Oryzias latipes: one gene and its partner. The protein of the gene in region 1 binds, or shares a complex with, the protein of each later gene. Links are inferred from orthologs where the notes say so. Each region holds a gene or a part of one and is shown on either strand. Other genes may lie near its edges.

The links. The genes of interacting proteins can lie anywhere in the genome.
Region 2: the proteins of ap3b1 (region 1) and ADP-ribosylation factor 1 are in contact, whole or in part, in a cryo-EM structure (PDB 9C5B), measured with the Homo sapiens proteins. The link is inferred for Oryzias latipes from reciprocal best matches to the Homo sapiens genes AP3B1 and ARF1. Residues at the interface, in NP_003655.3 of Homo sapiens: Glu52, Asn54, Pro81, Val84, Lys85, Val87, Ala88, Asp111, Leu112, Leu114, Leu115, Ile117, Ser118, Thr119, Gln121, Arg122; in NP_001019397.1 of Homo sapiens: Glu17, Arg19, Tyr35, Ile46, Pro47, Thr48, Ile49, Gly50, Phe51, Asn52, Val53, Glu54, Lys73, Ile74, Leu77, His80, Tyr81, Asn84.

The regions. Positions count from the first base shown.
Region 1 is NC_019870.2:3,646,745-3,651,011, reverse strand, and holds part of ap3b1 (AP-3 complex subunit beta-1), read left to right. Parts: intron 1-1,822; coding exon 1,823-2,005; intron 2,006-3,409; coding exon 3,410-3,565; intron 3,566-4,267. UniProt on the Homo sapiens protein: Subunit of non-clathrin- and clathrin-associated adaptor protein complex 3 (AP-3) that plays a role in protein sorting in the late-Golgi/trans-Golgi network (TGN) and/or endosomes.
Region 2 is NC_019877.2:22,747,785-22,752,151, forward strand, and holds the start of ADP-ribosylation factor 1, read right to left. Parts: upstream 3,131-4,367; 5' UTR 2,999-3,130; intron 1,823-2,998; 5' UTR 1,813-1,822; coding exon 1,665-1,812; intron 667-1,664; coding exon 556-666; intron 1-555. UniProt on the Homo sapiens protein: Small GTPase involved in protein trafficking between different compartments. Modulates vesicle budding and uncoating within the Golgi complex. In its GTP-bound form, triggers the recruitment of coatomer proteins to the Golgi membrane.

The DNA of each region.
Region 1 (4,267 bases):
ATGTCAAAGAAAACTATTCAACAATGCAACAATTTAAGACAACAAACTTCATGGCATGATGAATCGCATCAAAAGTTAAAGTTCACGATAATTAATGATTAGAAGCGAATAAATAATATTCTAAAATAGCAGTGTCACATTTTAATCAGTAACAAATCTGCAAATTAAACAAAAATTTGTGACGCACTGTGTCTAACCGCTACATTTTTGCACTGAACAAACAGCGGATTGTCTCACAAAACCTCCTGTTCTTTTGTTGCTACTGACTATATCTGAGAACTGGGGCAAGTGGGTGTGGCGTCACCTGTAGAAAAAGGTTCCAACAAAATGTAGTCAGTTCAGACGCCATGTTTTAACGATATTGACGCCTCCATTTTGGAGGAAGATGTCGTCAGTAAGCAGTGATTGGTCGGAGTCCATATGAGTCATCATTTCAATGGTAACCACTCTTGCCAAACAGGAAGGAGGCTGTTGGAAGGCCACTAAATCTGTCAAATGTTTTGAATTTGGGGGCCGGCAGACTCCACCTAATTTTTTCGAGGCGTCTTATTGATCAGATTTATAACTGGAATAACTTGAACCAAAACAAAAATCTTGAAGAGGAAAAAAGAGGATTATCAAGAACATGTTAAAAAGGAATCAGAGCAAGCATGGTTCTTCTGACCAATAGAATGGCTGAGTAACAGACTCTATAGAAGTCTGTGGGATTTTAGATTCTTGGAGCCAGCAGGTACTTCCTGTTTGGAACACCAGGGGGAGGAGTCACTAAGTCCAGTTTTCTTATACAGTCAATGGTCCAGAAATGTTTAGATGTCCTGAAGAAGACTTAGTGTGGTCATCAAAATCAAATTGAAGTAATTCTAGATGGAAATGCAGGATGTGATGGTGTTGGCACTTCCTTAAAGCACGTCATAATCTAGAATTGATTTAAATAAAACAAAAAACACCAATGTAACATCTTCAATTGTTGCCATCTGTTCTTGACGGTCAACAAAATGAATCATTCCACAGTTGCTAGAGGGAAATTTCTCAGTGAATCTTGAGACACAAGCATCTTATGTGCGCCCAATCAATGCGGGCTCATGACGGCGCTGATAGGCAAAAGCTCTGGATTCCCACAGGGCCTCCAGTGGCCACAAAGCTTTAATTGAGGAGACTAGATTCTGCTCCCTTTCTCATCTTCACCTTCGCCTGCCTAAGAATATTGCTGTTTGCATATTAATACATGCCAGTCACTCAGTCTGAGGAAAGATGGCTTGGAAACAGGCAGTGTGTGTGTATGTAGGTGACAGCCAAATGTTTTATTTTATTTTTTCCCTCCTACCAATAAAATGTTTAATAATTGACTCTCAGCTGCAGCTTCCTCCTCTTCGTTTTTTCCTCATCAATCCAGTGTTTTATACTGAGTAAAACACTCTTTAAGTGATTGAATTCTTTCACTTACGGGATTGTAGAAAACTTAAAAATGTAAGTGCAGCCGTTTTTATTTCTAATTATCAACTCACCACTTAGAGGACTGGATGCGTGTGTGTGTGTGTGTGTGTGTGTGTGTGTGTTGTAGGCAGAGTGCTAAATTGGCATCGTGTTTACCGAAATTGCAATTATCGTCCAACTTGAAACGAGGATTGAGTCTGTTAAACGGCGCTTTATTTCTCATGAGTCCCTATAATTCTGCTTTGTTTAAGAGACGAGGTGTTTGTTCAATTTGCTTGGAAAAATTGCCCCAAAACCTCACAACCTTTTTTCTTTATTAGTTTGTTAGCTCATATTTTTAAGTGAGAGGGGGAGAAAAAAAAGTTTTTTTTTTGTTTTTTTTTTGCAGCTTGTGGCCGGCAGTGTTGTGGTGGCCTTCGAGGAGGTCTGCCCCGATCGCATCGATCTGATTCACAAGAACTACAGGAAGCTGTGCAACCTGCTGGTGGATGTGGAGGAGTGGGGTCAGGTGGTCATCATCTCCATGCTGACGCGCTACGCCAGAACGCAGTTCACCAGCCCCTGGAAGGAGGTGAGGCCCAGATGTACCAGCAGATGTGCCTTATGTTGCTGTATCGTGGTTCATCTATTGCGTTCTTGCTGTTGTGCAACATTTCTTCAATGGAATTATGCTTACAATTTTTTAATACATTGTGTTCTGTATCCTGATTTGTTGTAGGCCATTCTCAATCCATCTCCTCTGTGTATAGAATTTACCAAATTTACATAAATCTTATCTTGGTCAGACACTTATTTTCATTTTAAAACACTTATTTTTCTATGAACTTTCAGAGTTTAACCAAGAGAAAAGTGTGCAAATGTGGATTTCTGTCTGAGAAAAGCGTTGAGTGAGGTATTTTACAGCCTTAACACATCTATAACCATTGTAAAAATAAAAAAAAAGACCTTTTTTTTTTAGAACTGAATTCTCACGATAAAAGAGGGAACACCACCTTCAAAAATCTTTAAAACCCTGCAAAACTTTCAGAGTGGCATCATCATAGCTTAAAGAATATGCATATGTTGTTATTTTTTTTACTGTTTTGATGACAATAATAAACTTGTGAGGGCAGATTGAGAAACTTGTCGTGGTAAAACAAATAGTTTATTAAATTATAAAATAACCTCCAGCAGAATAGAGTTAAAGTGTTCCCTCGTTTATCACAGGAGTTACGTTGGGGTTAGATATTTTAAGGATGTTAAACCCCTCCTTTCACACTTTACTCTCTTGTTTGAACCCTCAAAGTTCACCCTTTTAGATTTATTATACATCCACACCTGACCAGCAACTTGTTGCTTGATAATTTATGATGCTTCATGATTCCCCCGCCTCCCTCCCCTATAATCATCCTTCTGCCCCCCCCCCTCCAACAATAATCAATAGAAATATAGTTTAGCCTAAATTACAAAAGGGGGTTTATTCAGATATACACCACATGTGTCAGAAGATCTACAACCCAGTTTTCAAAGAAAACAAACACTTAAATTTCATAGAAAGGACAGACAATTTGGCGGACAGTAAAATGATGAATTTATAAAAGAAACATGGAAAATTCCACCGAAAAAATGACTAAAACAAAAGGTGAACCGCGATACAGCGAGGGAACCCTGTACATCCTACAAGTGATAACAGCAATGTGGACTCATCTTCCAGCTTTGGATGTTTCCTTTCATATCAGCTAGGATCTGTGTTTCTAATTGAAAAATGTGGTTTTTGCACAAATTTATAAACTTTCAAAAGCAAAAAGAGAAAAAATAATTTGGGCTGTAATGCTGTTTTGTGAATCCAATAAACACAATCTGTGATTTCAAGGCCAAAAAAGAAATTCCAAACAAATAATATTTCTAAATGGCAGGAACTCTTTTAACGTCACAAAAAAATGTAGAGATCCTCAGAATGTTGGTCTGGACCAGTGCATCCTGATTTGTCTTTCAGGATGCCGTGTTTGATGAGAACAACGAGAAAACCTTCTATGACTCGGACTCGGAGGAGAAAAAGGGTCCGACCGAAGCCAAACCGTACATGATGGATCCAGACCACAGACTCCTGCTGAGGAACACCAAACCTCTGCTGCAGAGCCGGAACACCGCGGTGAGCCCATGAGAACTCCCTTTTCTGTTGAGAACGCGCCTCTGCTCGCTATCATGTACGAAAAAGCGCAGCGACCTTGGGAGAAATATGTACTTTGAACGTTTGTAACGTTGTGTTAGAAACATTCAGCTCATCTGTTTAAAGCCAAGACAGTTTGACCATATTGAGTTTAGTCGGTTTGCATGTCGTTTACTTGCTGGACTATAGGTTTCACTTGAACTTTAAATCTCATAAATTTACAAGAAAGTCATACATTTATGATATTTAAGTTGTAAATTTAAATCTCATTATATTACCTTTATTTTATTTTATTTTGTTTTTGTTTGTGGCCCCTAATACGATGTCATAGCCTTTTGTATTTTCAGCCTTTGTTTCTTTCCCTCTTTGCTTTTAGTTCTTAATTTCCAGTTTCAATTCAGACTTTTTGACTGACTTTGGGCGACAGAGGTTATGGTGATGTCATTTCCGCTCCAAAACCGCTTCTTTCTGCAAATTCTAAGTAGAAAGTTAGTAGAATGTTCTGTCCTTGTATTCTCTATTGCAAAATGAATTAAGTTATACAGTTGTTAGAAGTCTTTGTTTTCCCTTTCCTTTATTTTTTTTATACTTGAAGAATTACCCCAAAGAATTGTTATAGTGCTTAAAGAAAATAAGCAGAAAAGGACACTTTTCATGGCCTTTTCCAGTTCTGAGTGCAAACTG
Region 2 (4,367 bases), on another chromosome or scaffold:
CACAGTCCACACACACAACACATAAACGAAGCCTTGATTGGCTGAGATCCTTTTCCAGGTGACCACTGTTATCATATTTCATGTATTCTTCTGTTTTCAAATGACTTACGTTAACTCAGATAGTCTAATCCCAGGATCTAAGCGTGACGATTTGGGCCTAAAACAACAACACTGATTTGTTGCCATGGTGAAAATAGACTACTTTTAAGGTGATGTCGTTCCCAAAAGCTTAAAAACGTTTGTTTTTATATTAAAATTGACAAAATAAAAAAGAAAAGCCCTGACAGAGAAATATAGAGAGGAAAACCAGACGTGGAGGTTTGTCTCTGAAACCTAACTGTTACACCAACTGTTGATTTTCTAGGCAGGAAAAACTCAAATAGCCCTAATAGTTGCTGACGACTTTAATGTCAGGAAAAAGGAGGAGTCAAACAATAAACCCTTAGAAGAATTGAACAAAAGTATGAGTCATCGGTCCAGCAGCGTTCAGATCATCTTCAGCGCAGAAGTTAGGCCCCCTATAGGCAGTAATGCGCTCCAACAGTCGGCCCTTACCTTGAGTGTTCTGGAAGTAGTGGCGCCACAGCGGCCTGATTTTGTCCTGACCGCCCACATCCCACACCGTGAAGCTGATGTTCTTGTATTCTACCGTTTCAACGTTAAAACCTGCACAAATGAGGACAGGCTTAGTGGCAGACACGGATCTGAAAGGCTCCCCAGGTTACATTAAACAGGTCATAAATTATCATTTTAATTGGATTTCAAGTTTACCACAGAGTATCTCCATTGTTAAAAGCATTAATTGTCAATATCTTTGTTCATTACAAATTCATAAACTAAATCATTCTAAATGTCATTTTTTTCAATCTTTTAAAAATGTTCTCAGATGATAAGGCTGATAAAATACATTTTTAACTAAACGTTTAAATCAACACTAAAGCTACCAAAACGTGCAGAACAGAGATATTACAAATAAGCAGAGAAAAGCCCACGTGGAGCTGAAACGTCTCCGTTTTCATACGTTTATCTGAACTCATCCAGCTGAATGTGATCTGGGCCGATCCACAGATCGAGCTGAAAGAATTCACCAGGAAGCAACAATAACAGCCGTGAATAACTAGGATCAAAGGCAGCAAAATGCATCTCCTTGTAAAAATCTTTGGCCACAATATGTTTAGATTTTGTGGAAACGAGCTGAAAGTCAGCTCTGATGGCTGACGGTGTAAATGTTTTCTATCCAGACAGCCGGAGTATTGACTTAGACACACAATGGTTAACTCAAAAACCATGAAATACAGGTAAACAGTGATGAGTTCAGTGTCAGCTTGGAGAAACTAATTGAGAAACCAGAAGATTTGTGTTATTCAAGCACAGAATACTGCAGCAAAATGCATTGTATGCAGAAACAGAGAGGTTATGAAATTGCAATGTTTTTAGCAATCCACTGCTGTTACTGCTGTTTCTGTTGAGATCAGAACAGACTTCGTTCAACGCAATTTTTAAAAAAAATCCCGACAACAATTTTGGCGTAACCTATATATCATTAATATAACATTTTGCTTTTTGGGTTTAACAATATCTCTCTCACTAAGACAGTTTCAGGATGAACAGATCCATGCAGCGTTTTGACATGAAAAACGATCCATTGCAAACAGAAATCCTACCGATGGTGGGGATGGTGGTGACGATCTCTCCAAGCTTTAGTTTATAAAGGATAGTCGTTTTTCCAGCAGCATCCAGCCCAACCATTAGAATTCTCATCTCTTTTTTGCCAAAAAGGCCCTTGAATAAGCTTGCAAATACATTCCCCATAATGACAGAGCTGGAAAACAACAAAAGTAAATAACTACAACATTTTAGTACTCGTACAGAAATAGTAGAAGAAAACCAACACATAAATGAACATCATAACAGACAATAATAGTAGGATTGAAGCAACGCTGTCGTGTTTTAGACTCAATAACAGAAATTTAGAGATATAGAGTTAAATGTTCACTTTGGCTAAACTGTTTTACATCTGCACCATCAAAATAACTATTCAGACATATAGTTTGACCTAGAGTCCTAGTCATCTGTAGGTAATCAATGACAGTACCAGAGCATCGATGACCCTAAATATAATTTGGGAGGCATTCACGGTTTAAGGTAAATCTCCAGACTGATGTGCATAACTGCTTTCCTTAACGTGGGAGTTGTGAAGGTCTACATAAACACATCAGATGTGTTTTCATTGGGATTTTTAGTGAAAATGTCATTTATCAAAGTTTTTCGGCTATTAGGATCGAAACTCAATGTGGCCAGCATCAACAAACTAAATATTTCCCCTAACTTCTATCTCGACTTGACGTGCGAGCTCCAGGACCATAAATTGCGTGTTTTAATGGAGTCCGCAGCAAACTGGACGGACGAATACTTCGGACAGCCGGCTAACCGCACAGCTAACAGATGACTGGGGCCTTGTCAGTCAGTAAACGACTGAAGAATAGTAAAAAATAAAATAGCAGTATTTTCCTTTTACGGGCAGCAGTCATATATCAAATGTAACAGTTTGTTTTAAAGGAAATCAGAAAGTTTGTGCTGTCACCACCCATTACCAACTGATGGTTAGCTTGACTATAGGGCGGATGCTTCGACTTGAGCCTAGCCTGCTGCTAACGGCTAAAGACTGGGTTTGGTCCGTGCGAAATCATTCTGTCAACAACGAACAGGCGGTACGTATCCACGAAGTTAAAGGTTGACGTATAAATAAGCCCGTTGGTGTAATATGTGTCGTGTAAAGTGAGTATCTTTTACTCGTTTTTTTCTTGTCAGTCGATCCAGAAACCACCGTAGCTAGCTAGCTAGCCGCCGTTAGCTCGATGCCGCGTCACATTACATAGAGAACAGCATGACGTCACGCAAAACCACACCAAAATTTGATCATTTAGGTCGAGTTTGAACTCACTCTCATAAAACGGCATACAGAGTAAAAAAAGTAATTGGTTCTGGTGGTTTTTACCTTTAAAAAGACAGCTTGCTGGTCTTTAGGTTATCTTTCACTGTCACTCCAAAATGGCGTCTTGCGCAACCAGGGAGACACCGGCGTCGGGCACGGCCCACTATCAAGCCTCAGCCAATCACAGCGCGTACGGTGTACCAAATGTCCCCGCCCCCGCCCAGCTCTCCGTCCAATCAGCAGAAAGATCGTCTGTGCGTCGACGATGCACAAAATGTCGAGGAAGTTAACTCAAGTTCTTCAAGTTCCACCGCCGTCAACGTGACAGGAGGACGGTTCAGCCGCTGACAGCTGAGGGAGGGATCGAACATGCGGCACTCTCCAGCAGAGTGCACGAGAAAGGCGTACAATGATCATGACAAATAAAGGATATTGTCCTCTCTTCCTTGTTGTTAGGTTGAACAACAGGCGGGTTTTCATTGTGTTCAGTGTCTTTCTTGGGTTGAATTTCCTTTGGTGTCTTTTCTACTTGGATCCATTGTTCTTTGTTTGACTCTTTTTGTCTTTTTTATACATGTCAGTGTTGGTTTGCTTTTATTTATTAACGTTTTTTTTGTTTTTTCCTACATTCTCAGGTTCACATTAGGTTCCAGAGACACCAAAAACCTAAACCATCATTTATATGAGCTCACTTGTGTGGCAATGTACAGACACTTAATAAAATACATGGAAAAGTGTTTTCATTTTTTTATAATTCCATTTTAGAACTAAGCTTTCATAGAGTATAGATTCAGGGTCCAGGTTTAATTGTTAAGTTGTTGTTTTTTTTACATAAATTGAGGTTCCAGCTCATAAAACCCTAGAAAACAGGATTTCGCAAAATCCTGATCGAGTGGAGAAATCTGCTCAAATTCTGAATATTTCTTACAGTTTCACCATCATCTACTGAACTCAAAACACCAGTACAGGTTCCCCAAATGTCTTTAAATGGGTTCAGTTTGGTTCAATGTGGGAAAGACTTGACAACTAGAAGACCACCATAAATATCCCACCAGAGGTGGTCCGCCATGAGCAAAAGTAACAGCTGGTTATTTGGCTTGCTGAAGGTGAGTGATGAGTATTTTTTTTCTTTTAGGTATCACTGCTTCTGCCCCTCACTCTCTGCTGGATCGTTGCACTGCAAGCATTCAGTCAACTCACCTGCTCTGTCCTCTGCCTGCTCGCCTACCTGTCTGCTCGCCACTCAGCCGCGCTTCCAGCTAACCTGCCCAGCCATTCTGCTCTCAGCTCCATGCTGCTATGGCCGTTTTCTGCTCCTGTTTCCCTGCATCACCGTTCTGCCCCAAGCCTCATAAGCCCCTGCACCTCTGCAATTTTGGAACCATTTCCCAGAGACCCTCCTGGAGACCAGTTTTTTGGGTTGCAAAATCAA